4 linked regions of the Sus scrofa genome follow. The protein of the gene in region 1 purifies or fractionates together with the protein of each later gene. This does not show direct contact. Links are inferred from orthologs where the notes say so. Each region holds a gene or a part of one and is shown on either strand. Other genes may lie near its edges.

Evidence for each region.
Region 2: the proteins of CRKL (region 1) and NEDD9 purify together in Homo sapiens (affinity purification with western blotting; 4 studies listed by BioGRID). This does not show direct contact. The link is inferred for Sus scrofa from reciprocal best matches to the Homo sapiens genes CRKL and NEDD9.
Region 3: the proteins of CRKL (region 1) and SOS1 purify together in Homo sapiens (affinity purification with mass spectrometry; 3 studies listed by BioGRID and IntAct, with this or other methods). This does not show direct contact. The link is inferred for Sus scrofa from reciprocal best matches to the Homo sapiens genes CRKL and SOS1.
Region 4: the proteins of CRKL (region 1) and GAB2 purify together in Homo sapiens (affinity purification with western blotting; 3 studies listed by BioGRID). This does not show direct contact. The link is inferred for Sus scrofa from reciprocal best matches to the Homo sapiens genes CRKL and GAB2.

Annotation. Positions count from the first base shown.
Region 1 is NC_010456.5:50,550,121-50,557,629, reverse strand, and holds part of CRKL (crk-like protein), read right to left. Parts: intron 2,231-7,509; coding exon 2,096-2,230; 3' UTR 1-2,095. UniProt on the Homo sapiens protein: May mediate the transduction of intracellular signals.
Region 2 is NC_010449.5:7,808,362-7,816,263, forward strand, and holds part of NEDD9 (enhancer of filamentation 1), read right to left. Parts: intron 6,659-7,902; coding exon 5,432-6,658; intron 3,883-5,431; coding exon 3,793-3,882; intron 942-3,792; coding exon 432-941; 3' UTR 1-431. UniProt on the Homo sapiens protein: Scaffolding protein which plays a central coordinating role for tyrosine-kinase-based signaling related to cell adhesion. As a focal adhesion protein, plays a role in embryonic fibroblast migration.
Region 3 is NC_010445.4:101,319,301-101,327,202, forward strand, and holds part of SOS1 (son of sevenless homolog 1), read left to right. Parts: intron 1-3,538; coding exon 3,539-3,666; intron 3,667-4,460; coding exon 4,461-5,116; intron 5,117-7,902.
Region 4 is NC_010451.4:12,846,953-12,855,355, reverse strand, and holds the start of GAB2 (GRB2-associated-binding protein 2), read left to right. Parts: upstream 1-3,932; 5' UTR 3,933-4,102; coding exon 4,103-4,177; intron 4,178-8,403. UniProt on the Homo sapiens protein: Adapter protein which acts downstream of several membrane receptors including cytokine, antigen, hormone, cell matrix and growth factor receptors to regulate multiple signaling pathways.

The sequences.
Region 1 (7,509 bases):
GAGGGCAGAGCTCTGGAAGATTCCAGTCCCCTCTGAAGCAGTCTTCCAGACCCTAGGGGCCCAGGCCCAAAGCCAAGGCAGGGTGCTGTATTTTTGTCTATTTAGTGTGGGGAAAAAAAAAAAAAAAATTCCCCTGCTTTATGAAAAAACTACTCAGGTGCTAAGTGGAAAGGGTCCTACTTCTGGCACACAGCCAAGAGTTCAGAACCCAGGGCTCGCCTCATCTCAGGCTCCGAACCTCCTGGCAGCCCTGGAGAATGTGCAGCGGCTGAAATACCGAGTAGACCCAGGTCTGTGGGGGCTCGGACTCTGGCTGAAAGGAAACCTTGCTTCCAATATGGCCATATACTTCTTACACTTGAGCCAACTACTGTCACTAACAGCTGCCCAGCATCTCAGCGAAATCTAGTGTGTGGCCTTAGGGTGTGTGCCCTCTTTGAACAAGGCACACAGTCCACATTCTGTATTCAGACCTGGTCACTTTCAGGCAGAGCACAGGGACCCTGCCACCCATGTGCCACCTGTCGTGGGGCTGGGCTGGCTGGACTCAGAATGGAAGGCAGCCACAATGGACATGCACCTTCTAGGCAGGAGGCAGCCACAGTTCTCACTAATCAGCAACAGCCCACAAAATGGACCGTGATATCTGAACACTCTCAAGATCCTTCAATATGATGGTTACCTCCCTGATGGAACACTTGATTCAAGAGAGTGAGAAACGCTTACCCTGTTGGTCCTATCACCAGAGTAACTGCTCTAACCTAAAAACTGGAGGCCCCCGGGAGCCAGGGCCATGGCTATAGCCACAATCAGTGGCTACCCCACCCCAGCTCCACTGTGTTCACTCCAGGCTGAGGCCTGTCCTGACCAGTGCCCAGAAGGGCAGGCAGAGCCAACAGCACCAAGTTTCCAGAATTCCAGTCCACGAACGGCCACACACTTGGACCAGCTGGCTTGTCTGAAAAGGTCTCCTTAACCAACAGGTAAACCTTAACATCAGACTGGCAAGTGAGTACTGATGCATCTGATGTCTCAACCATAAGATGTCAAATATATCAATTAATGTCTAGGGCCTGCATTTTCTTTGCTTGACAACATCTTGGACACAGGAGGGCTGGGACCAGCATTAGCAGCACTATCTTTCTTGGTCAGCCTGGTGAACTGCGCTGGGCAGGAGAGTGAACTGCAATCAGGGCACTGAGTGGAACTGTAAGATCCATTAACAAATTCAATGACTTTTTAGAGAAATTAGGGTCCTATACTTCAAAGGGGTACATGCGCTGGAAGGCTGGACAGAAAGCCAGCCAGGTGTCCTCCTGTCACTGGCAAACAAGGTGAACCACCCCCAACTCTGATGCCTTTGAGGACAATGTCATGCAAGAGGCTGTGCACACAGCCTGCAGTGCTGCGGCTGCTGTTTGGTTTGCTATCTGGCAGCACAAGATACTACCGGCAACCGAGACAATGAAGGCGCCTCTTCAGAGTTATCTTCCTCATACTGCGGCTTCAGTTTAGAAGCTCAGGCACGTGTCATCCCTTGTATCATCACAAAAATCTAACCTGCTACTTAAAAACCTGTTCAGGACACACAGTCTGATTAATTAAGTCTTCCAAAACCAAACCAAAGAGCAAAGGGAAAAAAAGAAAAGCCAAGCCACATGTGGGGAGTTTAGGGCAGAATTCTCTCTCCTGTAAGGTCCACTTCCTCCGCTCTTCAAGGAAAACCATGCTGGCGACTGGGCCCTGTGCCATGGCTCACAGGGGGCAATGCTGGCCACAGGCTTGAGCTCGTGCAGGACGGGTGGTCAGCCCCAGGGACAGGCAGGGCACTAGCCAGAAGGAAGCCCTGTCCTCACCCCCCTCTCTCACTTGTGTGCCTCCACCAGTGTTTCCAGTTCAGATCCAAAGAACTCTAGAATCGTCTACTGACAACACGACTATGATACAAATGCTGGGCAGCCACCGTGAGCATTCCAATGTGTGTGAGGCTACCCGCTGCAGAAGCTGGATGATGGCAGTGCGTGGCCTGCCGCGAGGACACTTTCCCACCTCCAAGGAAAGCAGGACAACAAAGCAGCAGGCTGGGGCGGTGGCGTCACTCATTCTCATCAGGGTTCTGGGGGTCGATGATTTTGACGTGTGTGAAGGGGAAGAGCCCTTTGCGCCCATTCACCTCACCTTCCCACTGGCCGTTTATGTTCATCCGTGTGACTTTGACAATGTCACCGACCTGCAAGGGGGAGAAAAGACAAAGTCAGCATTTTCTCCAAAAACTAAATCACACACACTGTTCCATTTGTTCTTAGGACCCACTCATTCTTCTCAGTGCTTAAACCTGAAATCAGGCCATACCGAAGACACCAGGAACTACCAATAAGCCCAGGGTGCTTCTCAGCCCAGGATGCGCTCTGAGGCAGAGCTCGGTCTTTGCTCTCCCGGCTACTAGCTCCAATGGGACAGAATGAGCCCATGACTCTCCAAGAACAGTTCAACGCACACAAAAAGTGCACTAAAGAAAAGACCCATCTCCCCCTAATTTACATGGGAAGGGACTGCTGCCACCAACACCACATCTGGCCTGCTGCCTCCCTACCCAGCAGTGTGGACCCAGCTGTGGCAGTCCCAGGGGAAGGAATTCCACCTACTGTTAGAGGACAGGCACCAGGCAGGGGGTCTCTGCTCCTCAAGTGGCCATAGCAACTCTGACGAGTGTGGTTTTCAAATTGTCTGTGGAGACCCCAGAGATCTAAGGAAGTACTTTAAAGGTCCAACGAATGTCCTGCTGGGACTCGAATTTTTTAATTGTTTTATTAAAGTTTTAACCCAAAGCACAGTCAAGTGTGCTCCCACATTATCCTAAGCTGCCCTGCTCACTGCTGTTCACGTACACTTTCCTTCGAATGAAACTCTGTCTCATGTGTCTGACTGAAGGCTCACCCAAAAGTGCAAGGTCAAGGGTAAAAGATACCCCTCACCACTTGCAACAAAGAGCCTTCAGAAAGGAGCTAGCTGCTGGGGTTGACCAAGACTGCAGCTACCAGCTGCACTTTTTGTAATGCTTTCTGCCCACTGTCACAGTCCCCATCCCAATTGCCTCCCTAAGTTAGTCCTGTAAATCTCATCTTACATACACTGGGGTTCCATGCACGGTTTCATTTGGAAAGACGCATCTCCTGCCAAAGCTACTGGGCTAGCAAGCTGACTGCTGGCCTGATGTGACCAAGAACCCCAGAGCTGCCAGAGCAGCCCGACAAGTCCACCAGGTCCAGTGGGCCTGTGGACGTGCCTTCACTGAGAAGCTGGGCCCCGGGGGAGCCACACCGGCCTTTCCAGGTGGACTGCTGAGCCACTGCACGCTGAGGAAAAGGAGGATGCTTTCCGAGGCGGATCCAGAGGAGGGAGGCTATCTTTGAAGCATTCGTTTGAATGATTTCAAATATAGGGCTCAAGAAGAAGTGCCAAAATCTAGCCATCTTGTTTAAATAAACACAAGGTATCTAAGGTGAGGAAGAGCTCAACAGAGAACTGAACTCTAGACTCTAACACAGCTTGTGGTCCATTTGTAAGAAAGCACCAGTGAACAGCTCCTTGTGGGGGAGGAGGGCAGGAGACACATGGCTTAGATGAATGTACGGCTCCACACGGTAGCAGAAGCAATGTCCACTGAGTTGTACATTGGCAAGTTCGTCCTGACCTGAGCACATGGAAAGGGCTCAGGCTGGGGAGATACCCCAAGAGGATGGAGAGGAAATGCGCTCCAGCTGCAGTGTGGGCCTGGTGTCCAGTCAGTGGATACTGTGAGTCAGGAATCTGCCTGCAGGGCCCTTTCAGACTCGCTTTCACTCCCAATTCTCAACACACCTGTTGCCTGTAAGGCAGGCTGGAGCCCTCTCCAAGATCACGGGCTGGTCGGCCAGAGAGCAGGGGTACAAGGCCAGACAGCACTCATCCTGGCCACCGTTGTCCCTGCCACCCTGAACGGTGCCAGAGTGGCCTGGCCCATCTGCACCGAGCACCACTCGACTGCCCTGCTCCCCACCGAGCCACCCTCTGCCCCTGATGTCCTATCTCGAACTCCCCACTCTCCTCCCCACCCTGTACCTGCTCATCTCATCACTACTAGCTCATGGAACCAATAAATACCAAGTGTCTTGTAACCGCCCCTCCAACCCCCAACCCACTGAGAAAGTCACTGCTTCTGTGCAGAAAGCAGCGCTGTCACCAGATGGAACCTTTCACCTTGTGGAAACTGGGCTATTCGGGAGTATGTGACAAGATGACAATGGAAAAAAGAACTCTATCCCCTGAAGCTCCATACTTAGAACACAGTATAGTATAAATTCCGTTTTAAAAAAAAAGAGTTCCTGATGTGGCGCATCAGAAATGAATCCAACTAGAATCCATGAAGATGGGGGTTCGATCCCTGGCCTTGGTTCAGTGGGTCGGGGATCTGGCGTTGCCATGAGCTATGGTGTAGGTCACAGATGCAGCTCAGATCCCCTGCTGCTATGGCTGTGGTGTAGGCTGGCAGCTGTAGCTGACTCGACCCCTAGCCTGGGAACTTCCATATGCCAGGTGTGGCCATAAAAAGCAAAAACAAAGACATACATACACACATACAAGAAAAGGCAAGGACAAGTAAGAGCATGTGTGGGTGCCTGCCTATAGGAAGTTTCTATGAACTAGGGGGAGGGGCCAGACAAGCTAGTGACAATCCAGCTGGACCCTTCAGTAAAAGGGGTGATGGTCCGTGGTCACCCAAGCAGCATGTAGGTAGGCCTGCACTCAGAGGCAGATCCCACAATGACAAGATATTTAAAAAGAATAGCTGTGACAAAAAGGAAACAAAGCTATGGCTGTCTGCAGCTGATAGGAGCTGTTGGCAGGTGTCAGGACCAGTGGCTTCTCCCCAAGACTGAGGTTTTGGTTTGCCCCACTCATGTGGACTAAGATCAGTACCTAAAAAAGATACTTTGGGAATTTCTCAAAGTATAGGTCTTTTATCTATGCCTTTTCTATCTTCAATTGGACTTTAAATGCACAAAGAGTGTACATCTTGCCTCAAGTTTGTAATCTGAGGTAGACTTAGCTGATAGTTGAGAAATGTAGAAGAAAAGTCTCACCTTCCTAAAAACCTGGTCCTTGGCAGCCCTCTCCCATGTCCTGGAGGCCAGGAACAAGCTCTGACCTCCTGCTGACAACCCCACCTCTGGGCCCCCAGCCTCAACCAGCCTGGCCACCTTCCCGCCTCCGCAGCCCAATCAGCCCAACTCCCAACACCCTCCTCTCCCACAGCCTGACCCCTACCTACCACACTGGCTACTGCTCCCACCATTTCACCAAGGAATTCCCCGGCCCAGGCCAAGGGCCAGGGCCAGTCCTTGACCACTGATGCTCCACGGCACCCGAAGCAGGAGACTTCCCCTCCCTCTGCTGCCCCACCTTCTTTTTGTGATGTTCTGTAAAATCACCTGCCAGGTTTGTGGACAGCAAAGGCAGGTGCCTTGTGGTGCCCTAAGCTCTGACAGACAGGCCCAAGGAGGCTACTTTCCTGCTCCTCCTGCCCCCTCACCCCCAGCAGCACTCTCTGAAGGAGGGAGCCGGCTGTGTTCCATGTCACAGGTCTCTCGCAAACTACTTTCCAGGAAGTCTGCAGAATCAAGGAAAGGAGAGAAAAAACCTAAGGCTGCCATCCTGCAAATGCTGGAGACAGATGGCCAAGCAGAACAGCAAGGTTCTCAGAAGAGAAGTGACAGGCATGAGGGCCTAAGGACAGCAGAGGACAACACTTTTAAATATATACACAGAATTGGGTCACTACTGTTTCTGACCCCCTAACACCATTTCCCTGCACAAGAGCAACATCCAAAAGCCTGTCTCCAAGACTCTGCCCCGTCAGCTCCTGACTCCTCTCATCTCTGCCCTCACTTCATGCCTCTCTGCCCATGCCCACAGTCCCACCGGCTTCCTTTCAATTGTTCAAATTTGCCAGACTCATCCCCAGATCCAGACTCTACATGAGACCCAAGGACATGCAGTGCTGGAAATGTGATTACATAACTTCACAACTTATAATGCTAAAAATCACGCTCCAGGCTATTGCCCAGAATTGCCAAGCTGATCCTAAGAAACTTTGGGCCTCTGCTCGTCTTTCACAGTTGAAGACACACAAGCAACCTTGACGACCACAGGACAACCCCTGCCCCCTCAGAAGCACCCATCAAATTGCATATGCCCACAATGTGCAGAAAGGGCCTCCAGGCGGCAGCCACTGTGTGCACAGGACACACCTAAAACTAAGATCCAAGACCTGCAACCACAGGATGTGAGCAATCTCGCCTGTCTGCTTAAAGCAGGTGTTAAGGTGGGGCCTGTGGTGATTCATGCTATGACCTTTGGAGTGGGGAAGGGCTGACAAGAGTCCTGGTTCTGCCACTTTTAGTGGCTACATAACTGTGACAAACTACTCAAGTTGCCCAAGTCTCAGTTTCCTTTGACTTTGAAAGATTCTTGCAATAATTAAAGGAAGTAATTCTTGCAATAATTAAACTGAATGGGATTGTTAACCAGCACACCCATATGTAAATGGTGGCTGTTGGAGTTCCTGAATCTGACTAGCATCCACGAAGATGCAGGTTCGATCCCTGGCCTCGCTCAGTGGGTTGAGGACCCGGAGTTGCCGTGAGCTGTGATATAAGTCGCAGACACAGCTCAGATCCCGCGTTGCTGTGGCTATGGTGTAGGCTGGCAGCTACAGCTCTGACTGAATCCCTAGCCTGGGAACCTCCATATGCCACGGGTGCGGCCCTAAAAAGATGAGGGGGAAAACAATGGTGGCTGTTATTGGAATGGGGATAACTGAAAAGAACCCACCTTCCATCCCTGGAATCATGCCCCCACCCCGCTGCTCACCGCACGCTGGCCGAATTCCAGGAAGAACTGGAACCAGCATAGAGAAGTACTATACTAAAGTGGGTTTTCACCCTGTCAGTTAAGTCAAGGGGATGGGAAAGCTGTCATATTAGAGAGAAAGGAGGTGAGGGACAGGCCTGGAAACTGGGGGAGGCAGCTGAGGAAGACAAAGGGAGGTTGCAGAAGGCAGGTCAATGCTGGACACTGCCAGAACATTCAACCCTCATGCCTACCAATTAACCCCTGACTCTGAGGATCTTTACAGGATACTCACTGCATGAACCTACCTAATCAGTTCAAAGAGATCAAAAAACGATGCAAAGAGCAGTTAGTGGCAGAGAAGCAGTACTGGTTCAGTGCTGCAGAGCACAGGGGTGAGGACAACTACATGGACCAAGGGACCCTAAGCAGCAGAGTGATCAGGTACCACTCAGAAAACTTCTGACAGCTCACCTGACCACTAATGTCTCCCTTGGGCCTTGCAGGAGTTCTCACACATTGAAACATAGTCCGTTACCCCTCAGAGCCAGGGCCCTTTCCACAGAGGACACCTTGGTTCCAGCACACTGCCTGCCGCCCACGGTGACAGGCCCAGGT
Region 2 (7,902 bases), on another chromosome or scaffold:
AGATATGTGTCCCAGACCGGGGAGTGACAGGCTCAGAATAATCACGAGTACATGTAGCAATTACAATCAGCTGGTATGTTTCATAGAAAAAGAAAAAAAAAAAAAAAGCAGCATTGGGAGGTGCCTCCCAAGGTGCGTCTTACTTCTGGTTTTTAATGGAATGTATGAGACAAACGGACACGAAGACACAGTCCTACCCACGCACGCAGACGAGATTCTGTACACTCTCCAACTCAGATGCTCAGGTGTGTGCATAAGCAAAGAAAAGAAAGTCTCCCCGGGAGCTCCCTGAATTTCTGAATATTGGCTAACCCACAGAATGTTAACAAAAGTTCATTTTCGTATCAAATATCTACAAAAATAGAGACGCTTTACCAAAACCAGAGCCCGCGTCCAGGTGTCCGCGGCGGCCCGCTGCCCCCCGGGCCGTCTCAGAACGTGGCCATCTCCAGCAGCGAGCGCTTGAAGAGCTGCGCGTGGCGGGACAGGTCGGTCACGTGGTGGACCATCTCCTGCAGCGCCGGGGTGCTGGGGTAGTGCAGCGCGGCCGTCTTGGTGGCCAACACGATCGTCTTGAGCTGCTCGCAGAGCTGGTTGCTGGAGTTCATGACTTTGTTGCGGATGTCCTGGGCGGCCACCTGCCGCGTCAGCGTGTCCCCGATGAACACCAGTTTGTGCGCGCTGAGGATAACGAACTTGCTGTGCGCCACGAAGATGCGCGGCGGCTGCGCGGAGCTGACGCAGCTGAAGAGCGCGTCGATGGCGTTGAGCAGCGAGATGTAGTGGGTCTCGCACTGGTCGTAGTAGAAGCACAGCAGCTGCCTGTCCTGGGCGCCCGCGCCGCTGCTGGCGGTGGGGAGGCTCTGGGAGGGCTTCCACTTGGACATGTCGTTCTCCACGGGCTTGGTGATTTCTTGTTCCAGCAGCTGGAACTGACTCAGCTGCAGGGAGGAAAAGAGCAGACGGCCTTCAGGCTGCGGCAGGGGGCTGGCATGGACACGCAGCAGGGCTCCCCGTTAAAAGGCAGGGATTTGCATCCCTGCGCAGAGTCAGGGGCCTATTCGATGCTAAGCCGGGTCTAGCTGCCCTGCATTCCTAACCTGTGAAAAGTAGCCGTGGAGGGAGGTCCCATGGCCAGCAGCAGACACGAATCCCACTGGTAGCCATGAGGAGGCGGGTTCGATCCCTGGCCTCGCTCAGTGGGTTAAAGATCCAGCGTTGCCATGAGCTGTGGTGTAGGTCGCAGACATGGCTCAGATCTGGCGTGGCTGTGACTGTGGCCTAGGCTGGCAGCTCTAGCTCCAATTCGACTGGTAGCCTGGGAACCTCCATATGCTGCAGGTGTGGCCCTCAAAATAAATAATAAAAATAAATAAGTAAGTAAATAAAAGGCAGAGGTGAGAAAGATGATCCCTAAGGAATCTGTGGGTTCTGACGTCTGTGGTTGGATGGTTGATCTCTCCTGCCCTCAGCCTGGAAGGCAGCCCAGGGTTTAAGCCCAGCTATTTTACCTACACCTTTACGATGGTTAAAAGAGTTAATAGTTGCCAAGTGCTTAGAGCAGTGTCGGGTGTGATGCAGGCTCTATGAAAAGCTTTATCAAGCACTGAGTGGGGGCAGGGGAAAGCAAATGCGGGGATCTCTTTGTCAGGTCACTCGCTGACGGGTGACTCCTTCTGGAGGAAAGTCTTGACTTTGTCCCTGCAAGACACTTGGACAAAGGACCGATCCTGTCTCCTACTCTTTCTGTCCAGATTTATACATGTTATTATCCAGCAGTACAGGGAAGACATGCATATAAATATATGTACACTATGGAAAAGAATATCTCTAAGGGAATCTGAATGCTGACTGTATCGTAACACTTAGCACCCTCCACCCCGAGCTGTCAAAAGGGAAAAAAACCTCACTGAGTCAGGCTCTCTGAGTATTAGCATTCGTCCTTCTCTCTGCACTGCCCCCAGCTGGTGTGTTATTTAAATTGCAACGATAATAATTTCCAGCTATGGCACCACGTCTCTGGAGAGACTCTTCTTTTACAGGTAAGGACTAGTTAGTGACCGGAGTTTAGAACTCAGTCAGTCTTCTGCTGACGTAGGGCTGAGTCTGAGCAGCGTTAACAGCATCTCCCCCAAGAAATGCACAGCAAGCTTTTCTTTTCTGTCGACTCTGTTTTCTTAGGAATTACTGTGATTTCAACAAGTTCCCTAAAGCCCTGCAGTCTTACTTGGCCACATGCCAAGGCAAACGTAAACACACACAGGGTGATGCTTCAAGATATTTAGCTTATGCTTTTCCAAATATGTTCATAAATATACCATCTCTTTAGATGGAGGGGAGACAGACTTTCTCATTTTATAGAGAAGTAATGGAAGTTCAAGGAAGTTAAGTGACTTGCCTAAGGCCACATGGTTGGTTGGTCAGAAAGCAAAGGTTAGAGCTCTGGTTTCCTGAGCTCAGTGGCCATTTCATTTCTCTACATGCCATTTCATCTTATCTTAAAAGGCTTATACAACTGAAGGAACATTGTAAATTAACTTTAAAAAAAAAAAAAAGACATTGGGGAGTTCCCTGGTGGTGCAGTGGGTTAAGGATCTGGCATTGCCACTGTGGCTTGAGCTCGATCCCTAGCCTGGGAATTTCCGCATGCCACAGGCTCAGCCAAAACATAAATTTTAAAATTTTTATTTTTATTTATTTATTTTTTGTTTTTCCAGGGCCACACCCATGCCATATGGAGGTTCCCAGGCTAGGGGTCTAATCGGAGCTGTAGCCGCCAGCCTACGCCAGAGCTACAGCAACACGTCAGACCCAAGCTGCATCTGCGACCTATACCACAGCTCACGGCAACACCGGATCCTTAAACATTTTTTTAAAAAAGAAGAAAAAAAGGCTGATAAGTCCTCAATCCATTTCTCTTTATTTTTATGCCCCTATTCTAGCAATACCCATCATTATCTGCCCCACTCATGCCTAACTTTTGAATGAAATTGCCCTGCCTGAAGCCCTTAATAAATAGTCTTGGATATATTTTGAAAACATTGGATCCTGCCTTCCTGCCCTTAGAGTGTACCAAGAACAGCCAAGCCAGAGGCTTGTTTTGTAGGGGAGAGACACATAGGTAGGTAGATAGATAGACAGATAGATAGATGGATAGATAGATAGAGAGAGCGATAGATAGATAGATAGATATAGATATGGCCAGACTCTCTTTTTTAGGAATTTGATGACCCACAAAAGGAGATGACTATCAGATAAGGAAGCTGAGATAAAAACCTATCTATACAAAAGGCATCGAGCGGCCATTTGTAAAATTACAGGAGACAAATGAGGAGGTAAGCAGAGGAAACTGCCAGAAAATAGAGCAAAGAGAGGAGCAAAGGAAGTGTAAGAAGGAGAGGGATTGACAGCCCTAGTTCTTTCAGACGTGGCTATATCTTCATTTTTTGTTCTTGAATTCTCCGATTACGGCTTTCCTATAAACCTGTTTGCTAGGGCAACCTTGAGTGGGTCTGGCTCCTTGAGACCAACCGCTTTAACCCAAATAGTCCGAATATGTTCAATGTACAGACTTAGCCTGGAAAAACCGCTACCTCAACATAGTCCAGGTACACCCAGCTGCGTTACTAAGGTCGCAAACATTTTGTTCTCAGACCCTGTTATATGCCTTGGAGTTTACTTATGCCACTGCATACAGGAAAGACCAAAATCACGATCTTTTGAAGGCATACCTTCCTTCCTAAGCGGGAAATCTTTTCCATACCCAGTAGTCTGGGTCCCGACTGAACGTACCTGGTGGTGTTCCAGCTGCATCTTGTTCTGCTTGATGATGTTTTCCTTTTCCAAGAGCTCTTTCTGTTGCCTCTCAAACTCCTCCTTACCCTATGGTTTTTCAACATAAAGAAAACATTACATCATCACCATGACTCACTTCTGCTAACAATTTCATTGACAAACACATAAATGCTCTTCCATTTCCACGGCCCTGGCCATTCCCCACATGCCCGATTAGGCCCTGTGCACCCCAGACAGGGAGGACGAGCTTCTCAGCCAGACTTCAGAGTCACCGTGTAGAGGACGACTGAAAACTAAATCCATTTCCATGAGGGGCGCCATGCTCTCTGCTCTACTTTACATGTTTGGAGGGCTACCCCAATCCCCTTCAGACCTCCAGCAGCAGCACTGTTTCTCAGGGTTCTTTTCTCAGAGAGCCTCTGCAAATCCATAAACCTCTCAAGGTAGGTCTGAATGTGGTCCATGTTGCCTTCCCAGTGTCTTCAGCTCATTTGCAGCTCCACAGCAAATTAGGATTCCCCCCATGCAGAGCTGGACAACCAGCCAGGCAGAGAGTTAAGGCCTCCGTCTACTCTCTCCCACATTTTCTCTTAGCTTGAGGTGTGGCTCTGCTCTCCTCGCCCCAGCTGAACCCAAAAGAACTATAGTTTGTTCTATAATTCTCAGGATAACTCGTGGCTGTCAGTCATATTAAAAGAATGGCAGGAAAGTTCCTGTTGTGTCTCATCAGTAACTAGCCTGACTACTATCCATGAGGACACAGGTTTGATCTCTGGCCCTGCTCAGTTAAGGGTTAAGGATCCGGCATTGCCATGAGCTTCAGGGGCAGCTCAGATCCCAAGTTGCTGTGGCTGTGGGGTAGGCCTGCAGCTGCAGCTCTAACTCAACCCCTGGCCTGGGAGCTTCCATATGCTGCAGGTGCGGCCCTAAAAAAAAAAAAAAAAAAAGCCGAATAAGATGGTAAGCCAAATTCTAAATAATGGATCTTCATAGAATGTGTGACTCCCCCAGAGTGAAAAGGGCAAGCTGTCAGGATCCCAGGTCAACCTGGTGAAATGTCCACTTGTTAGAAGACTGACTGGGACGGCCCAATTTCCCATACGCAGGTTAAGTTCTAGGTCAACTGGGAAATGACCAGTGGTCTTCAAGGTAACTCTAGTGCAGAGGTTTTCAAAATATATATATATTTTTTTACCAGTGAAAGACCCCTATCCCCACGCTTTTTTCCCCAAATTAAATATGCAAAACCATATCATGAACTACAAATAGAAGTGGAGCTGGTATGATTATTCAAGGGCCCACTGTCCTACTCAGGGAATCTTCTCCTGCTTGCCTGAGGCGTATCAATCAGGTCTAATCCAACCCTGCGCTTCATTCATTCGGCACATGAGGAAATTGGGGGGGGGGTACGTAAGCTGGTGACACAGTCGGTGTCACGTGTAAGTCTAGAGGATGCAGGACTCTCTGGCCAGTATTTCTCCTAATGTCTGATGTTGCCTGCCGTCTGTGAACCTCCGTTGTGTTTCTGAATCACTAATCGTGGTCTCTCTCGGGCAGTCTAGCCCACCAGCCTTAGAGGCCTTAGTCCCAACCCATGCACGTGAATATTGCTGCTTTCTGAGTCTGGTTCCTTTACCTGGAGGTGGACGTAGTCATAGTCATCCATCCAGCTCCTCTCCGAGCCATCACTGCTGCTACAGTCAGGGGGCTGGTCCTTGCCCAGGCTCGGGGGCAATGGCTTGTTGAGACCGGGAGTCTTATGGTCCCCGGGATGCAGCAGGTGCATCTGGGAGCCCGTGTGAGGGTACTCGGTGTTCTCGGGCCCAGTTTTCCCCTGGGAGCTGCCAGGGCCGGGTATGAAGAGCGCTTCTGCGTTGGTGTTGATGGTTGTGGTGAGCTGCTTGGCATCATCCGGCACCGTCTTGGCCACCATCACAAACCGGTCCAGGTCATCACACTTGTTTTGGGGCTTGTTGATGGCCAGTATGTTCAGGGACCAGCTGCACTCATTTAAGTCATGGCTGGTCTGGCTCAGAATCTGGTGGGAGTCCTCCACCCTCTGGAGCTCCCGCTTCATCTTGTGGTGGAGGCTGAGTTCGGGGAGGCAGGCGGCATTGGCCACCGTGCCCTTGGCGAAGTGGAGGTAGTCCCTCAGGAACAGCTCCACCTTGTCCACGGCCGTGCGCAGCTCGTTGATGTGCCGCTCCATGTACCCGTAGCACCGCCACTCAGTGGTGACCAGCGCCATCAGGCTGGAGACGCCCGTCTCCAGGGTCTGCTGGAGCCGGTGCAGCCTCTCGATGGCCGTGTCTGGGTCCAGGAAGAGCCTTTTGTCCTGGGATGGGGAGGCCGACAGGGAGGACTCCTTGGAGGTGGTGGAGGACGTGGACATGTTGCTCCTGGTGCTGCCCGTGCTGGAGAAAGACAGGCGGTTCATGCCGTCCACCACGTCCTGGGAGCCCTTGGCGTCGGGCGGGTTGTGCAGCGGGACGTCGTACACCCCGTCCCTCTCCTCGAGCTGCGCCTTCTCGCGGCTTTCTGCGGGCGGCTGGAGGAACTGCGCCCCCCGGGGGACGTCGTAGGCGTCGCTCTGGGCGCCCAGGGGCGGCGCCGGCTGCGGGGCGGGGGCGGGCAGGGCGAGGCTCGGGTGTCTTCGCGGCAGGTCGGCCGCTCCCGGGGCCTCGCAGGTGAGCTTCCGGGGAAGGTCCTTGGCCCCGGGCTTGCTGCTGGCTGGGGGGACGTCATAGACGCCCTCGGGCCTGACGTCCGGCCTTCCGGCGTGTCTCAGGGGAGGGGGGAAGTCGTACTCCTTCTCCCTAAGCCCGGCCTCATCTCTGCAGGCAGCTGGAGGCCCGGCGTGGACCTGAAAAGCAAGCGGCAGGCGAGGCTGTTACTTGTGAGGTTGGCCCGGAACGCGCCTGCGGAGACGGCACTGATTGCTTGATTGATATATTATTTAGAAATTATGTATTTCTTTATAAATTATAAATTATTTATTTATTCCTTCCCTGAACTCTCTCTCTTTTTGCCTTTTCTAGGGCCGCACCCGCGGCATATGGAGGTTCCCAGGCTAGGGGTTGAATCACAGCTGTAGTTGCCCGGCCGACACCAGAGCCACGGCAATCTGCAGGATCCGAGTCGCGTCTGCAACCTACACCACAGCTCGCGGCAACGCCGCATCCTTAACCCACTGAGCGAGGCCAGGGATCGAACCCGCAACCTCATGGTTGCTAGTCGGATTCGTTAACTCCTGAGCCACGATGGGAACTCCCGGAAACGGCATTTAAATGAGGGCCGGGTTCTCCGCCGTCCTGTGCCAGCCCCTCCCGGCTCACTGTAGAGCCTCTGTCCTGCTCTTGCTCCCCCACCCTTTGGCCAGTCCATCCTCCCCCGGCCTCCGTGCTGCCGGCCGGCTGGGGGCCCTCCTGTCGGAGTTGCCCTCCAGGGCCCCAGTCCCGTTTCTGAGCACCTCCCAGGTGTCCTTCCGGGGCTGACTCAGGCTGGGAGGCAGATGCTGCACGAACACCCCGGGGCCTCAGGGTCATGAGACCCGAGGTCGCTCCCCGGCTCTGCCAGCCGTGATGCTGAATAAGATGCTTACACGTTCGGAGACACACTTCCCTCATCTGTAAACCAACTGTACTTCCTGTGCAGGCAAACCGCGGAACGAGTCAGGTGCACTAAGCCGGAGATAGACGGCCAGAGTAAGCGTCACAGGGTCTCTAATAGGGGCTAGAGCAGCTGCTGCCCAGCGGAATTATTTTATCTTCTTACTGGCTCTTCGTATGGACCACCTCATTTTTAGCGGGGTCCCCTAAATACGGAATTCCTGGAATTATCTTTACTGCTTTTTCTTCCTCCCTCCCTCCCTCCCTCCCTCCCTCCCTTCCTTCCCTGAACTCTCACAAAGAGGAGCCTTTCTTCTTTGGTTTTGCTTTATTACAGTGTGCACGCTAGGGGAGCATGCACACAGACAGACACACACACAGACACAGACAGATACAGACACACACAGACAGATACACAGACACACACAGACAGATACAGACACACAGACAGACACACACAGACACACAGACAGACACACAGACACACACACCCCCCCTT
Region 3 (7,902 bases), on another chromosome or scaffold:
CCTGCGGCATATGGAGGTTCCCAGGCTAGGGGTCGAATCGGAGCTGTAGCTGCCGGCCTACACCAGAGCCGCAGCAACGCGGGATCCGTGTCTGCAACCTACACCACAGCTCATGCTAACGCCTGGTCCTTAACCCACTGAGCAAGGGCAGGGACCGAACCCGCAACCTCATGGTTCCTAGTCGGATTCGTTAACCACTGCGCCACGACGGGAACTCCTAAGCCACTCTTTTTGATAATAGTTAGCTTGAATCACTCAGCATCAATACCCAGTTTAAATCAGCTGTGTTAAGTAAAAGAAGCAAAGATGTTTATATGAAAGGTCATTTATTACATTGAAGTTTGTCTTAGATGATTAACTAATGCTATGTAGGTAAATATTACATTTAAAAACAATCTTCTCAACAGTAAAGTTTTACAGTTTTTGAAGTAGATTTTAGGTATGTGATTTTAAAATACATTAAAAATATTTTTGAGATACCAGTATATTCTATATGTGAAATTCTCTATAGTTAATGGTAGACAAATGACCCAGAAACTTGAAACATTTTTAGAATAGAAAGTCAAATGCATGTCTAAATGGATTTGTTACTTTCACAGTTATTTTTATGTGTGTTAGAATTGTGTTCTGTGGAAGTTCCTGTTGAGGCTCAGAGATAACAGACCTAGCTAGTATCCATGAGGATGCAAGTTCGATCCTTGCATCAGCAAGTTAAGGATCTGGCATTGCTGTGAGCTGTGGTGTAGGCCGGCAGTTACAGCTCCAGTTAGTCCCCTAGCCTGGGAACTTCCATATGCCGCAGGTGCAGCCCTAAAAAGACAAAAGGAAAAAAAAAAGAGAATTGTGTTTACGTATAAGTTTAGGTATGTGTGGCTGAATTAATAATGTAAAAAATATCAAAGGTCAAAATATAAAGGATTCAGTAATATTCTACTGTTTGTGTCAACTCAGGACTTAAAAAATTACTTGATATCCACTTGAATACTGAGTGATTAAATTCTGAAAAAAATTCAGTGAAATAGTTCACTCTTTAATGGTGCTTTCACTACATCATTTAGAATTTTGCCCTTTCTTAATATTGCTATCAGTGTTAGATTGACTGCTGCCTTTGAAACCTAAACCTTTTAAAGTTAATGGTAGCATTTCATTTCATTCCAGAAATTCTGCCATATGAGAGGCAGATAGGTATCCATTAAGTAAAAACCTAGTATCTTTCTTTATGAATAATATGGCCTTTGGCTTTCTTTAATCTAGCTGGCCATAGTGAAGAAAAATATTTTGAGTAAAAGATATTGACGTGTTTTTTTAAATGTGTCTGTTTTTAAGTCTCTTATCCTTTGGAATCTGTCTCACATACACACACCCCCTTTTATGTTGGAAATTATTGTGAATGGGTTTTTGTTTTACTTAACACAGTTGAGACTGAATATTTTTCTAAAGAGTGCAGATTATTGTTATAGTGGAAAGCATGGTGAGTTTTAAATAATGGATATAAGATATTTGGATAATAAAACCTGAGAATTAAATAGATATAATATGGTATTTATTACTTCTAGAATATTTGAGTATTAGGATATTTTAAGGAGTTCCCTTGAGGTACAGTGGAAATGAATCCAACTCATATCTATGAGGATGCAGGTTTGATCCCTGCCCTTGCTCAGTGGGTCAGGGATCCAGCATTGCCATGAGCTATGATGTAGGTCACAGATGAGGCTCGGATCCCGAGTTGCTAAGGTGTGGCGTAGACTGGCAGCTGTAGTTCTGACTCAGCCCCTAGCCTGGGAACTTCCATATGCCATGGGTGTGGCTTTAAAAAGCCAAAAAAAAAAAAAAAAAAAAAAAAACCATTTTTTTAAATAAGTTATTTTTGTAAAAATGGTTTGGAGCATTGAGTAAGAATATGTTTACTTTTCATAGGTCATCAATATACATCATATGTATGTGTATATATAACTAATCTGTATCAGTTCAAGCAAAAAAGAAATGTGTTATTATTCTTTAAGAAATAACTCTCGGAGTTCCTGTAATGGCTCAGCAATTAGCGAACCTGACTGACATTCATGAGGACCCCAGTTCAATCCCTGGCCTCATTCACTGGGTTAAGGATCTGGCGTTGCCATGAGCTGTGGTGTAGGTCACAGGTGGGCTCAGATCACATGTGGCTGTGACTGTGGCGTAGCCCTGCAGCTATAGCTCCGATTTCACCCTTAGCCTGGGAATCTCTGTATGCGGCAGGTGCAGCCCTAAAAAGACAGGAAAAAAAAAAAAAAGAACTCTCAAGAACAAAAAGTACTAATGAATAATGAAGCTCATTGAAAAGTAAGCCTTTGTAAATTTGAATTTTTTATGATTTTCTCAAGTCTTTTTCTTTATGATAGACAGTAACTGTTCTTAAATGTTGTATGAAAGCTTTATTAATAAATGTTACTTCTTGGAGTTCCCTGGTGGTACAGCAGGTTAAAGATCCAGTGTTGTCACTACTGTGGCGTGAGTTCGCTCCCTGACCTGGGAACTTCCACATTCAGGCATGGCCAGAAAAAATATGTTAGTTTCTTAACTTTTCCTTTTTGGTAGCCACAAACAGATTTATAAGGTTACTGAATTATTGTCACCTATTGTCATTCATAACTCAATTGCTTTTTTGAATTACCACCACCTTGTCGCAATGATAATTAGCCATTATTGATGACTCAGTCCTTGTTAAAAACAGACTCTTCTGTCCAGCGTATGTAATATATTTAGCCACTGATTGAAAACGTGCTTGAGTTTTACTAACATGTATGATCCTAGTTTTATTCAAAATCTTAACATATGAATATTGACAAGGTTCTTCATGATAGTAACATTAATTATGTAGTAGAACTGCAAAGAAAACAACTTACACTGTACATTTACAGAATGCTTTCATTTTTAATAACAACGCCATAAAATAGATTGGGGAAGCTTTTTATAAGCCTCATTTGACATATAAGAAATATGAGGCTCAGAAGTCATATAATTTTCCTGAAAGATCACACCGAAAGTGAGTTGAATTTTATCTTAGGTTTTGTGTCTTCAGGTTCCTCTCCACTATGTTGCTTCATTCTCTGTATATTTATCTTGCATAGCATCCCATTGCTTACAGCAGTAGTGTGGGAATCAGAATTCTAAGAGCAAATTACACACTTCAAAAAAGACTCACCTGTGTGTTTACTTCTGTGCCACGTCCTATGATAGTTAAAAGATAATTTTTCCTCCTCATTTCTTTTTGGTAGTATGCATCTGAGAAACTGCACATTACTCCCTATCACAAGATATGATGTCTTTTAACACTGTTTCTACTCCTTTTTTTTTTTAACATGGAAAACTTGGTGGGATGTTGATTTGGATAGTAATACATAGGAAGACTTTTTAAAAGAGTAGTATATTTTATGACGTTTAAAATGTATTACAGTAGAAAGAGTTGAATCAATGTTATCTTTATCCTTAAATAAAATAGGCTTATTTTTTTGTACAGAACTGTTCTGCTTGTTCAGATTTGTCATTTTTTACTTTGCAGCAGTTAGAAGAGAAGAGTGAAGATCAAGAAGACAAGGAATGTTTGAAACAAGCAATAACAGCTTTGCTTAATGTTCAGAGTGGTATGGAAAAAATATGTTCTAAAAGTCTTGCAAAACGAAGACTGAGGTGAATAATTTCACTTTTTAAATTATCTTCCTTTTCACCCTGAATATTGTGGTATAAATTAAGGGATCCTAGTCCCTACTCAAGTAAACAATGAAGAAAATAGTGTTAGTGACAAGCTTGGTCTTTCAAAGGAAGTGACATCAAAGCCAAGAGAATTTGTTATTGTTTGAAAAACCTTTCATATTTGTGCATTTTCCTTGCATACTCCCAGACAAGACCTCCTGAGAATCAGCTGGTAAGCTAAAGGAGAAATACAATGTATTGGGTAGGTTTATGTCAATCTCTGAAAATAAAATTAGTAGTGTTCTTTATTTTAGGGACTTTGTAACTCAAGGCATTAATTCAGATAATATACTTCCAGTTTCCTAGTTATTATGTGTGCATGTTTTTTAGCTTTTAGATATTGTCCACTTAAGCATTCCTAGATAATTTTTAATCTCTTAAATTACTTTAATCTCTTTTTTTTTTTCACTATATTGGGCTACTTTTTTAATATTTGTCATTCTAAGTATTTAATAGCCGTAGTAGAAATAATCATTCTGTAGCTAAATTTATAGGGGAGAATTTTGTCAATAGCCAACTGTTCTTTTTAAAGCACTAAAAAAAAAAAATGTCTCTACGGTATTGATTTAGTTTCCAAAATTGTGCAGTTCTGTTAACACTAACATATTTGGAGAATTAGTGAAAACCTTCTCAATGCAATGTTTTTAAATATACTTTTGCATTTCCATTTATTTACATGAATTATAGATTCCCTGTCTTCTGTGTACTAACTGTTTTTTCCTTTATCCCAGTGAATCTGCATGTCGGTTTTATAGTCAACAAATGAAGGGGAAACAACTAGCAATCAAGAAAATGAACGAGATTCAGAAGAATATTGATGGTTGGGAGGGAAAAGACATTGGACAGTGTTGCAATGAGTTTATAATGGAAGGAACTCTTACACGTGTAGGAGCCAAACATGAGAGACACATATTTCTCTTTGATGGCTTAATGATTTGCTGTAAATCAAATCATGGGCAGCCAAGACTTCCTGGTGCTAGCAATGCAGAATATCGTCTTAAAGAAAAGTTTTTTATGAGAAAGGTACAAATTAATGACAAAGATGACACCAGTGAGTACAAGCATGCTTTTGAAATAATTTTAAAAGATGAAAATAGTGTAATATTTTCTGCCAAGTCAGCTGAAGAGAAAAACAATTGGATGGCAGCGTTGATATCTTTACAGTACCGGAGTACACTGGAAAGGATGCTTGATGTGACAATGCTACAGGAAGAAAAGGAGGAGCAGATGAGGCTTCCTAGTGCTGATGTTTATAGATTTGCAGAGCCTGACTCTGAAGAAAATATCATATTTGAAGAAAACATGCAGCCCAAAGCTGGAATTCCAATTATCAAAGCAGGAACTGTTATTAAACTTATAGAGAGGCTCACATACCATATGTACGCAGGTAAGAAATATGAACTTGCCTATCACTTTTATTTTCCTGTTCAGGCTGATTTTTCTTCGCTGCACAGGTCATTGTGCCTAAAATAGAAATCAGACTAACAACAAAAGACCTCCGCATTATCAGAGTTCATCTTCTTCTGATTTAAAATACTTTCACTTTGTTTTAGTTTGAAATTTTATATTTTTTTCTACCACGTTTACATATGTTGTTTTTAAACTTTATAACCAGTTATAAATGAAGTTACTGAGCTAAATTTACCCAGTTAGTGGCAAAATTAAGACTAAAAGTAGTGGTAAATCATGATCATTAGGGTCTAAAAATCTTTTTTCTCCTTTGTTTCTTTTTTTTTTTTATCTCTCTTATTACTGAGATTATAAAATCAGTAAAAATTTTAATATACATCCATAACCAAAATTGTGCTGGTAGTACAAATATGCACAGCATTGCTTTTTCTTAATTTCCATTCCTAAAGTTTATTAAATTTAACAATCCTGGGAGTCATTTAGGTTTTCAGTATTTTTTACTTTTTAGAAGTGATATTATTTAGAAAACAACTTCACCTTCTTAGCGGGCATTTTAGAGACAAACATAGGGGCTTGGGCTGAGGGATTGAGATATGTTTGTTTCTAAATTGGCTGCATATAATATTTGAGAGGTAAGGAACAAATATAATGATGCATTTATTATAGGTAACTTTATTCTATTAAAGTAACAAGTGAACAACAAAGTGTTGTTCAACTTCCCTACATAGTAGGAAGTTTGATTGTTGTAAAATACGGTGGAAAGAGCACTGAATTTAGATTCATACCCTTATTCTATCACAGTTCGTTAAGGCCTTAGAACCTTAGTTTTCATCTCAAAAATCAGTACCACAACAGCCACCTTAGATATTGTTGGAAAGAATAAATGAAATAAAATACATTAAAGCTCTTTATAAATATAAACTTATTTTCAAAGAATACTTTAACTACAAAGAGATATGAAATCAAGCATAACTCTTATAAATGCAATTCTTAAATAGTTGAATATGTAAGTTAACCTCTATCCCCATACTTTTTGTTTAAATATATTCTGGCTCCAAGAGATGTGTATTTCTTGGGAAATTCCTCCAGTTTTTAAAGTCCTACAAAGGGTTCTCAATTCTCTCTGGAAACTATTCTGGCACCAGTTAGATTAAACTTTTAAAAGATATCCATTAACAAATCCACTGTAACAACGATGAATGGTATTTGATAATGTTAACCTGTTCAATTTATTAAATGTTCATTCTGAATCACTTACGTGGCCTAGAAGTTATCAAGGCCACCTTGCAAAAAATTTAGAATATTTTTGTCAGTAATATCAAAACACTACAAAACAAATCTGTTTCATTATCTCCACATGTCTCTGGGGTAAATAAGCCAGTTTTTTGTTTTTAGTTTTTATTTGGCCTCTAATTGGTAGTTCTTTTGCTAGCCTTATCCATGGTAAAATAATAGTTTTCCATAGGCTAATTTTAAAAGCAGTTTGGTAGCTTATATTATTAATTAATGTTAGGAGTGCTACATTATTGAGTATCCGAATTTTTTTCTTTTCTTTTTACGACTACATCTGTGGCATGTGGAAGTTCCCAGGTTAGGGGTAGAATTGGAGTTGGAGCTGCAGCCTATGCCGCAGCCACAGCAACATGGGATCTGAGCCACATATGTGATCTGTGCTATAGCTTGTGGCAAGAAAGGTACCATGTGTGAGTCTAAGCAAATATTGAAAAATGCATTCAACCCCGACATTTCCTGAGACTTGGTGAGGCAAGAATCAGGAATTTCCCTGGGAACTGTTAACCTTTAGTTGGGCAGTGGCTGGTCAAGTAAGGCCAAGCCTCAGGATCTTTAGGATCCCAACAGAAAAGTGATATCCATTCAAAATATGTAAGAGTATTTATTTTAAGATTTACCATTTGGTAGTAGCAGGCAGTACCGAAACATGCTGGATATAATTAAAGAAGACTCTAGGGATTGCAGTTTTACTAGTGATTTTTCATCTTGAAACTTCTGTGGACAGTGTATTCATTTTACTGACCCCAAAATAAAAAATAAATCAAAGTACAGGAAATGTAAATAAGCTGTGTAGGGTTTTACATGAAAATGAAATAGGTTATTCTGTCATCTTTCTTTACATATAAAACTGATTTTGAGAGGTACAACTTTCAGTAATGAATATGACCTACTGATTTTGAGAGATACAATTTTTAGTAATTAATATAACCTATTTAGTTGGTCTTCATCAACTTCTTTAAGCTCTAGAATACAATTACAAAAATGTTTTATTAAATTACCTTAAGTTTGTGGTTGCAAAAGTTATTTCTTTTGCTACTTAAGAAATTTTTAAGTTTATGAAAATTCAAATTGTTCTTGCCACATTCTGATTTTTGTGTCTTAAAAGATTTTTCAGAATTTTTTGGTATAAGCATTTTAAAGTGTCCATCATTTTATTTTAATTACCTTTGTTTTGAGTTCTTAGACTATTTAGAGTAAAATTAACCCTTGGTATTTTACCTATATTTGTGAGACAGAAGCTCTACTATTTTTTTTTCCTGTGGAGTAATATAAGTGGCAAATGGTAAAGAAAACTGCTAGTGTTTACTGTCACAAGTCAGTGGTATTTGATTTGGAAAACATTTTCAGATTTCAAAAATTTTTTTTAAACTGCTTGCTTTATTTCACAGAATTATGATTATTAAGCAGTTATAAAGAACTATAATTAAATATTTATTTTCTGGGGAACTGAGCGTTTTGTTTATCTTTTGA
Region 4 (8,403 bases), on another chromosome or scaffold:
TCTCACAACAAACATTTCCTGAGCATCGTTTTGTGCCTGGCACCATGCTGGGAGGCTCGGGGAGTACAAAATGAGGATGACACAGTCCTGCCGGCAAGGATCCGACAGTTCCTTGAAAAACACTCGCGGTACAGTGCGTTCACCTAATTTATATAGGTGCAAGGTGAGTCTAAGGAAAGAATGAGCGACTGTGTTGGGGCTTGGGGCTGGTGCGTTTTAGGGAAAGGGGTCTTGATGTATGTGCAAGACCGAAATCAAGGCCAGCGTTCTCTTAGAAAGAAAAGGGTCATCATGCAAAGGAGGCTTTGGACTCCTAAGACACTTTCCCAGGGACCCTGGTGGTCTTTGTTCTTGGGAGAATATGATAACCGATTTTGCAGCATGATCTGTGACTACAGTGATGTCGCCACCCCCACCATTGTCAGCAGAATTATCTCAAGAGCCTAGCTGCCCCCAAACAAATAGCACAAGTTACAACGGAGAAACTGGGGAGCACTTGCTCAAACCTTTCTTTTTAAGGAAGTTTATTTCCAAAATGTCTCCCACTGGGCGTAGTATCAGGCAACCCCAGAGTGTTAGGAGCCTGAGACAGGGAGGAAACCCAATTAGGTCTCCAGCCACAGCCCGAGCCCACTTCCAGATCTCCATCCCATCCAGATGCCAAAAGTTGATTAGGTCCAAGTAATTTGATGGAGGGAATCAAATGGGCTAAAAGCACCCAGGGATTAAAAAGGCATCCTCGATGCCTGAGAGACAAGTGTCCTGAAAGTCACCAGCCGAGGTGGCCCAGCTGGTCATACTGACCTTGGTAAGCAGCACTCAGCTCTGAAATGAACCTGTCAACTCAATTGAAAGGGAGAAAAGGCAGAAGGGCTAGGACACAAACATCCATCCCCACCCCCAGTCTGATCACTGACGTCAGGCTTGGTGTGGGCGGTATTAATCACTCAGCCTGGTGTTCAGTTGAGGACAGCTCTCCTTGCAGCGCTTCCAACTCATTCCTGGGAGCGTTCCACCAGCCATGCACCTGCCACCAGCCACAAACCCTCAACTCCCAGACAGGCACGCAGGCAGGCTGCCGCTGACGACCCTCTAAGCCACAGGGCGGGCTCTGTGGGGGGAGGGGCAGGGCAAACCGTGGTGCCCAGGCTTTCCTCCCAGGTGTGCATTTCTCTAGTTTTGCAGTGCTCCCCCCGAAGAAACCCTCATACAACGGGCCATTTCCTGGGGATTTAACGAGAATGTAGAATTAATGGCCCAAAGAGCTCCTAGCATCCGGTCATTAATTCCCTCAGGAAATACCAGTGGTCTTTAATCAAAATTGCCTAAATTAGAGACTAGTGATGCATGTCCTTTGGGAGGGAGGGGAGAAAGCTGTCGTCCCAACTGGTTCCGATAGATGGCGCCGATCTTCGCATAAATAAATCACTCAATTTGTGTTCCATTTTTCCCCAGTGAAAATCAGGGAGCATTATTTAAAACAACAACAACAACAACAACAACCAGGGAATGGAGAGGACTTAGTAAAGGTCCAGACAGGAACGTTCTGTCCAAAGGCTGTTTCCAGGCCTTGCACGAACCTCAGTCTCAGAAGACTGAGCCACAGGGAGGTGCAGCCAGGGACCTCAGCAGCATTCCCCCCTCCCTTGTACAGTCTGTGCTGGCCGCTTAGTACTGGAAAAGGTTGGGAGATGGGGAGAGCACCAAGAAGAGCCGCTTCTTGGAGGGGTATGTTCAGAGAAGACTTCTGAAGCTGATACTATGTAACTGTACTATTTCAAGTCCCCTCCTGTCATTGGCCTGAAAACATCAAATTTCTGTTTCCACATGGAATTGTAAATAACAACATGGGGGGGGGGACTTTGCTAGACAAAATAAGACCCTAAAGAATTTCTGGCAGCAGTGCAGCCCCACTCCCAACTAACCGTTGCTGAATAGTCCCCCAGTCTATCTGGAATCATCTAACTATTAAAAGATACGTAATAGAAGACTGCATTTCTAGGGAAAAATAGGGCCTGTGTATGCCTGACTTGCGTCACACACCTCGGCTGTGAACAAACCATGCAGATTTCTCAGACTCCGCAATCCCTGAGACTTGGCATCATGACTCAGATGTGAATGAAGTCAGAAGATTGCTTTATTTTTGTTGGGAGTCACCGCCTCCTGATTGATTTGGCAGGCTTTGAGTATTTTGATATTTGTCTCACAGGGTTTTAAGGTACTTAAAGCCAGAGGTTAAAATGGCTACAATTCTGGTGGTAGTCCTTGTATGAGGCTTAAGGATCCCTCAGTTGGAAGGCTAAGGAGCTCTGATCCCAGCTGTAGCCTGATTGTTCTGGATTTACATGCAATCCAGCAGCACACTGGATAGTGAAGAAAGTGAAATATTAGGTCCAGAGTTGCTGATCTCCAAACCCCCCCAGAGTGCTTAGAAGAGTTAAGCATTCGATAAAGAATTAGCTTTTACAAACTGACAGGGTTGAGCTTTCCCCAACCCACCCAAGGTCTATAAATCAGAAGGATGTCCAACTACTTGAAAACAATAGCTTTGCTGCCCGGAGATAGAGAAATGATCAAAGTGGCCTTCAATTTGTCATGGGGAGTGCAAGATGCTGCTGGTTCTACTCATCTGCCTGCAGCGCTTCCCTATTGATGTAGTGGGTTACTACCCACTTTTCAAAGAAGTTGGGGGAGGACCTACCTTTTAATTTTTTGTGTTTTATTAAAGTATAGTTGATTTTCAATGTTGTGTCAGTTTCTGCTGTACAGCAAAGTGACTCAGTCGTACATATATGTCATTCTTTTTGAGGACCTACCTTTTAATGCTGCTTGTAAAGACATTTTCTGACTTGAAAAGAGCCCCTACCAAAGGTTTCTGGGGTTTTGGCTTTGTTTTTTTCCCCTCTCCTCTCCACCTGAAGTGCTGGGTTTGTCAGGTGTGTGCGTCCACGTGTTCGATCTTAGTTAAATAAACCTCACTGCAACGCAGTAAGAGAGGTAGCTGTGTCATATGCGCTCCAGAGAGTTCTCATAACCTGTGTCAATGAGTTGAAGGTCCGGGGAATTTTGACCCCAATTTCACCTTGCCTTACAATTCACTATGAAATAGAACATTGACTCACTTTGGCTTCCTTGACTCTGCAAATCCCTAGAATTTTCTATTGAATTGCTTTTTCCCAGAGGCAAGGGGGGAGCCAGCTGGACTTTCTTGGTAATAAGAGGACCCCAAGTTCATCTGCAGACGTTAAACAATTCTACCACCTTAAATAGCAGAAGAGCAGGACCCCCCCCACCTGCCCCCGCCCCCAGAATTAGAAACCGGACTGCACTGCACCGGCTTGGGGACCTTAGGCTGTCTGTGAAATGGGAATAACACCGCCCAAGTTGTAGATCTCTGACAGTCATCTAAGCAAGGATTATCAAAGGGCCCAGCACCCAGTAGTTTCCGTCTTTCCTTCGCCCATCAAGGGGGCGAGAGAGTTAATGGAACTCTTGCTGGGAAGCGCATCACTAATTTCAGCCAGAACCTGACCCACTGAAACCTGAAACTCAGGGAAGGATAGGAAGCGGGAGCAGCCCTTGGGTCTCTTCCCGACGACCCTCTGTGAAAAATCGATTCGCGATCGAGGCCGCGCAGTCCCTTCCCATCGCCCCACCTCCATTCCCACCAGGGGCGCGGCCGCCGCCCCCGCTGCCCCCTCGAGGCTTCAGGGCGGGGGGAGAAAAAAGCCAGACCCGGGGGGGTGCGGCCGGCCTCCTCGCGAGCCTCGGGCCTCTGGGAACCGAAGACGCCAGGCGCTGTTTGCGTCTTTGAAGACAGCCCGCCCGGGGGCGCGGCGGGCTGTGGGCGTGGCGAGCGCGCCGCCCTTCCTGCCGGGGCCCCCGCCGCGGCCCCGCCGGGAGAGCGCGCCGGCGCGCGCGGGGAGAGCGGGAGCGCGCAGGCGGCCGGGCCCGCGCCGCGCCGCTCGTCCTCGCCCCGCGGCCGCCGGCTGCCCCGGCCCTCCCTCCCCCGCGAGCTGCGCACCGCCGGCCGACTGACCCAGCCGCCCGCGCCCGCGCCCTTGTCCGTCGACCCCGCGGCGGGCTCCAGGCGGCCGGCAGCATGAGCGGCGGCGGCGACGTGGTGTGCACGGGCTGGCTGAGGAAATCGCCCCCCGAGAAGAAGTTGAGGCGCTATGTGAGTGCGGGCGAGAGCGGGTGCGGCCGCCGAGGGCGCGGGCGGGGGGCGCCCTGCGGCCTGCGGGAGGGCTGCGGGCTCCGGGGGGCCGGCGCCGGCGGGGAGGGCGGGCCTCGGGGCGGCTCGGGGCTGTGCGGGGTACCTGCACACCTGTCACAGGTGCGCCGCCGAGGGGCGGGGCGGGCGGCCGGCCAGGTTGAGGCTGCGGCTCCCTCTCCGCGGGGCGGGCGCGGCGGCGGCGCCTCCCTAGCCAGCCTCCCTGCAAACTAAAGGCACTATTGAAGTTTGTATTGATTGTTTTCGGAGCCGGAAAGAGTTGATTCCCGGGGCCGGGGGACCGTAGTAACCCCGAGCGGCTTCAGCCCGCGGGCTTGGGGGAGCGAGTAGGAAAGGGGGGCGTAGGCTACGGGGCCCCGCCGCCTGGCCCCACAAAGGGCGAGGCGCCTCACACCCTTTCCCCCTTGCCTTTCTCTGCCCGCCCCTCCCGGTGGCCGCCTGCTTCCTTCCAGTCCACAGCCTCTGCATCACGGGCAGCGTCAGCGGCATGTGCAGCCCTTGTATTAAGTGACTCATTTGTTTGTCCCCCTTCTTTCCCTTTATTCTGTCTGTCTCTCACATGGATCCCCCCGTTCCTCCCCTCCCCAACCACCCCACGATAGTGACACTGCAGTTTGGTCGGCTACAACTGGCCCGGGTTTTGTGTTGTGCGGTCCTCGGCGTCTGGGGTCGGGAGAGATCAAGGTTCTCAGTTGCCAGGTGGTGCTAAGCGACGTGTTTACTGAAATTGCTGGGGCAGCCTCTCCCTTCTCGGTGAGAGGCTGGCAGTATCGTGGGGAAGGTGGTACAGCCCGGTGGGAGCGGTGAGGAGGTCTGGCTTTTTTTTCCCCTTCCACCTGAAGATGTCCTGCTTGGTGGGGTCAGAGTACGAGATGGGGCCAGTCCCTGAGATTTGGCTGAAATCAGTCCTGGGCTGTTCGCCTGAGTCTGGAAACGCAAGCAAGGTAGCTAAAAGGTGTCCCAGTTTGCCACCCTCTCCTCGTCCCTTCCTTTGATATGTCCTTGTTAAACCGACTCGTGGTGCCGGGCTCTCTGGGATCATTCCCACAGCCTGGAAGTGAGCTGTTGCCTTCCAGCTGCAGTGCATCAGGGGAGCTCGGAATAGACCCTGCCCTCTGTCAGCTGCACCAGTGGCTTTCCATGAGGGGAGAGGCAGAAGCTTACCAGAGTTTCCTGTCTTGGCTCCCCAGATCAGAACCGAGGGACTTCTGGCCTCTGGATTGAGGAAGTGACATTCTGTTTTTCAAAGGAAGTGTTGTTGTTGGGGAGAGCGAGCCAGTGTGTATGTAAATGAAATCAGGCTCTTATTTAGATCGTTTGCTGGGGGGAAAACCTAAGGATTTAGCGCATGACATTTGAAAGTAGACATAGATTTTAAATATAGTAGGGGTGAGACAATGAGGTGTTCATCTTGGTTTTAAAGCTCATTTTCAGAGATGTCTGTGTAGCCAAAGAACTCTGATTACTAAGAAACTTCTCTGGAGGGTTCTATGGGTTCATTCGGAAAAGTGAATCTTTCTATTGGGAGGTTAAGGAAGAGTAATTTGCTATTAGTATTTTTACGAATATAAAACCAAACCAAAATCCTTTGGCCCCAAAGAGCTTCTGAAAACCATCAGTTAAAGTGTCATACCATCCTGGCCAGTGGAATAAAGCATCCAATAAAAATATGTTCTTAGTTGTTAAATTAGAACCCCATCCTAAACAACCTTGAAACTTCGTTTCTGAAACAGTTTGCCACTGTATCTACATTGACTGAGGACTGCTTCAGCTCAATCACCTAGACTCTTTATGGTCCACTTCATGGGTATTTTCGTTCCCAAGCAACTTTAGCTCAAAATAACCAAGTGTGGAGGCTTTAGGGTCAAGCACCTTTCCCCCCATTTGAAGTACTTGACACCCTGCAGTCATAAGATGACCTCAGCCTTTTCCCACCCCCCTCGCAGCTTTATCCCATAAGACCAAACTAGCAGCAGCTTTTCTTAGGCTAGAGTCATTGGTATGATTGGAAATTGCCCCTCCTGTGGAAGTTCAGTTCCCTTAGTTGAACCTGAGCTGATTTGTTTGATCCTGAACTCTTGGGGAACAGTCTTCCCTGGCATCTTCTTTTCTTTGAGGGTCTTGAGAATGTCTTGCTTTAAGTTAGAACTCTTCCAGCTCCCTCTGTTCAGCAGAGGCCCAAGGTCATCAGGCCCAAACTAGGAAAGAAGTATTTCCTAACCCCGTTGCAAAACACCCCCCGCCCCCCAATGGCTGCTTATTCTGCTATATATAATGGCCATGTGGTATTAGAGATTGATAAATCTTCATTGTAAGAATGTATCAAGCATCTGAAATAAGGGGGAAAGCAGCTTATGAAATAGATTACACCTGCTTAAAATTAATTTAAAAACCTGCCTCTAATTTGAGGCGGAGGTAGGTGTCGGGGTGAAAAAATAACTTGAAAGAAGCTATGGCAAATGTTAGCAGGATTAGCTTTAGGGAATTCTGTGTCTAAGAAATCAGTGTCTTTTCCAATTTATTGATTAGAAGAAAGAGTAAAAGGTCTATTCAGTATTTACTGTGTGCTCTGGAGGGATTACAGAAAGTGACCTCTGGAAATGGTGAGTATTGCCCCCGGGGCATCATAGTAAGGTTGCGGTGGGAGGCTGGCAGAAGGAACAGCCCTCCCGTCACGCCAGAATATGCGGGTATATGAGTATGTGCATGCTCTGCACGTGGGTGAACACACACACATGTACATGTATAAAAAGGTGAAGCTGTGTCTTCTTGAGGAAAACGTATTTTATGACATTTACTGCCCTATAATTTTCTATTTTCTCTGGGTTAGAAGATTTAGGGGAAAAGATTGGTGGCAGCACTGCCCCCTGGTGGTTAACCTGGAGAAAGTTGTGTATTGATTGTAAAGAACTGAATTTAAGAAACTGCTTGTTTTCATTTTATTTGTTAAATAAGCTTTTTAAATTAGATATTTGTGTCCCTGGCACTGGATTAGATAGTGATAATAAAAGTTAATCCAAAAAAAAGTTCATCCACCCGTTCAGTCTTAGTGGATGACCTTGCCTTCTCCTTCACAAAGAAAATGAAGCTATTTGGGATAGCTATCTGCACACACTGCAACCACATTCCCAAGTTTGTGTGGTTCATTTCGTTTTTCTTTGGAATTCGTAGAGTGGATGAGGTGCCCCTTATCACTGGGCTAACTCTGCACGCTGTGCTCTGGAACATGTTCTCTCCTGCCCATTTAGGGCCTTCTTCCCCTTTCTGCCATGAATCTTCAACTTTTCCCTCCACCGCTTCCTTTCCATCAGTGTTTAAACATCCTTCCTTTTTAATAAAATTCTCCCTCATTGTCAGACCCCTTCCTTCTCACTGTGCTTTCTCTTTTTCTTTGGGCTAAACTTTTTCGTGACTGCGAATACTGTCTCCATTTCTGCTGCCTCCTTCTCAGTGGGCTCCAGTCTGAAACCTACTTTGCCGTTTCACCAAAGCTATTCTCAGAAAGGCACCAGTGTCGCCCAGGTGTCACTAAATTCAGAGGTGTCGTTTTCATTCCTTATTTTATTTCTTCACTGCTTGATCATAATGGACCACTCACTCTTTCTTGAAGCACCTTCCTCTAGTCTTGAATGATACCATGTATGCCTGACTTTTCTCCTTTTTTGGTCGTTTCAAATTTTCTTTGCCAAACTGACCCTCTTTATCCAATTCTTAAAGGTTGAAGCTCCTTTTTAGATACGGTGGCTATGCTCTGGGCTCTTTTCTCCTCCGTGGAGATCCTGTCTATTCTCCTGGCTTCAGTTGTCATTTGGATGCTGTCACTACCGAGTTAAATTTCCATCTCAGAGATGTGTTCGGAACTCCAGACTTGCAAATGCAGTTTTTAGCTGGCCATCTCTACTTGACTGTCTCCCCGTCATCACAAACCCACCACACCCAGAGTTAAACTCCTCTTTATTCTTCTCTTCCTCATCCCACATCTGCTCAGTAGACGATGCCATTGAACATCCACTTGCTCTGCGAGAAACTTGGGTGGCGTCCTTGACTCCTTGCTAACCACCATCCCAAGTCTAATCTTCCACCAAAACCCATTGGCACCATCATTTTTTTTTTTTTCTGTACACTTCTCCATCCCTGCTGACATAACTCTTGATTACCATTTTAATAGC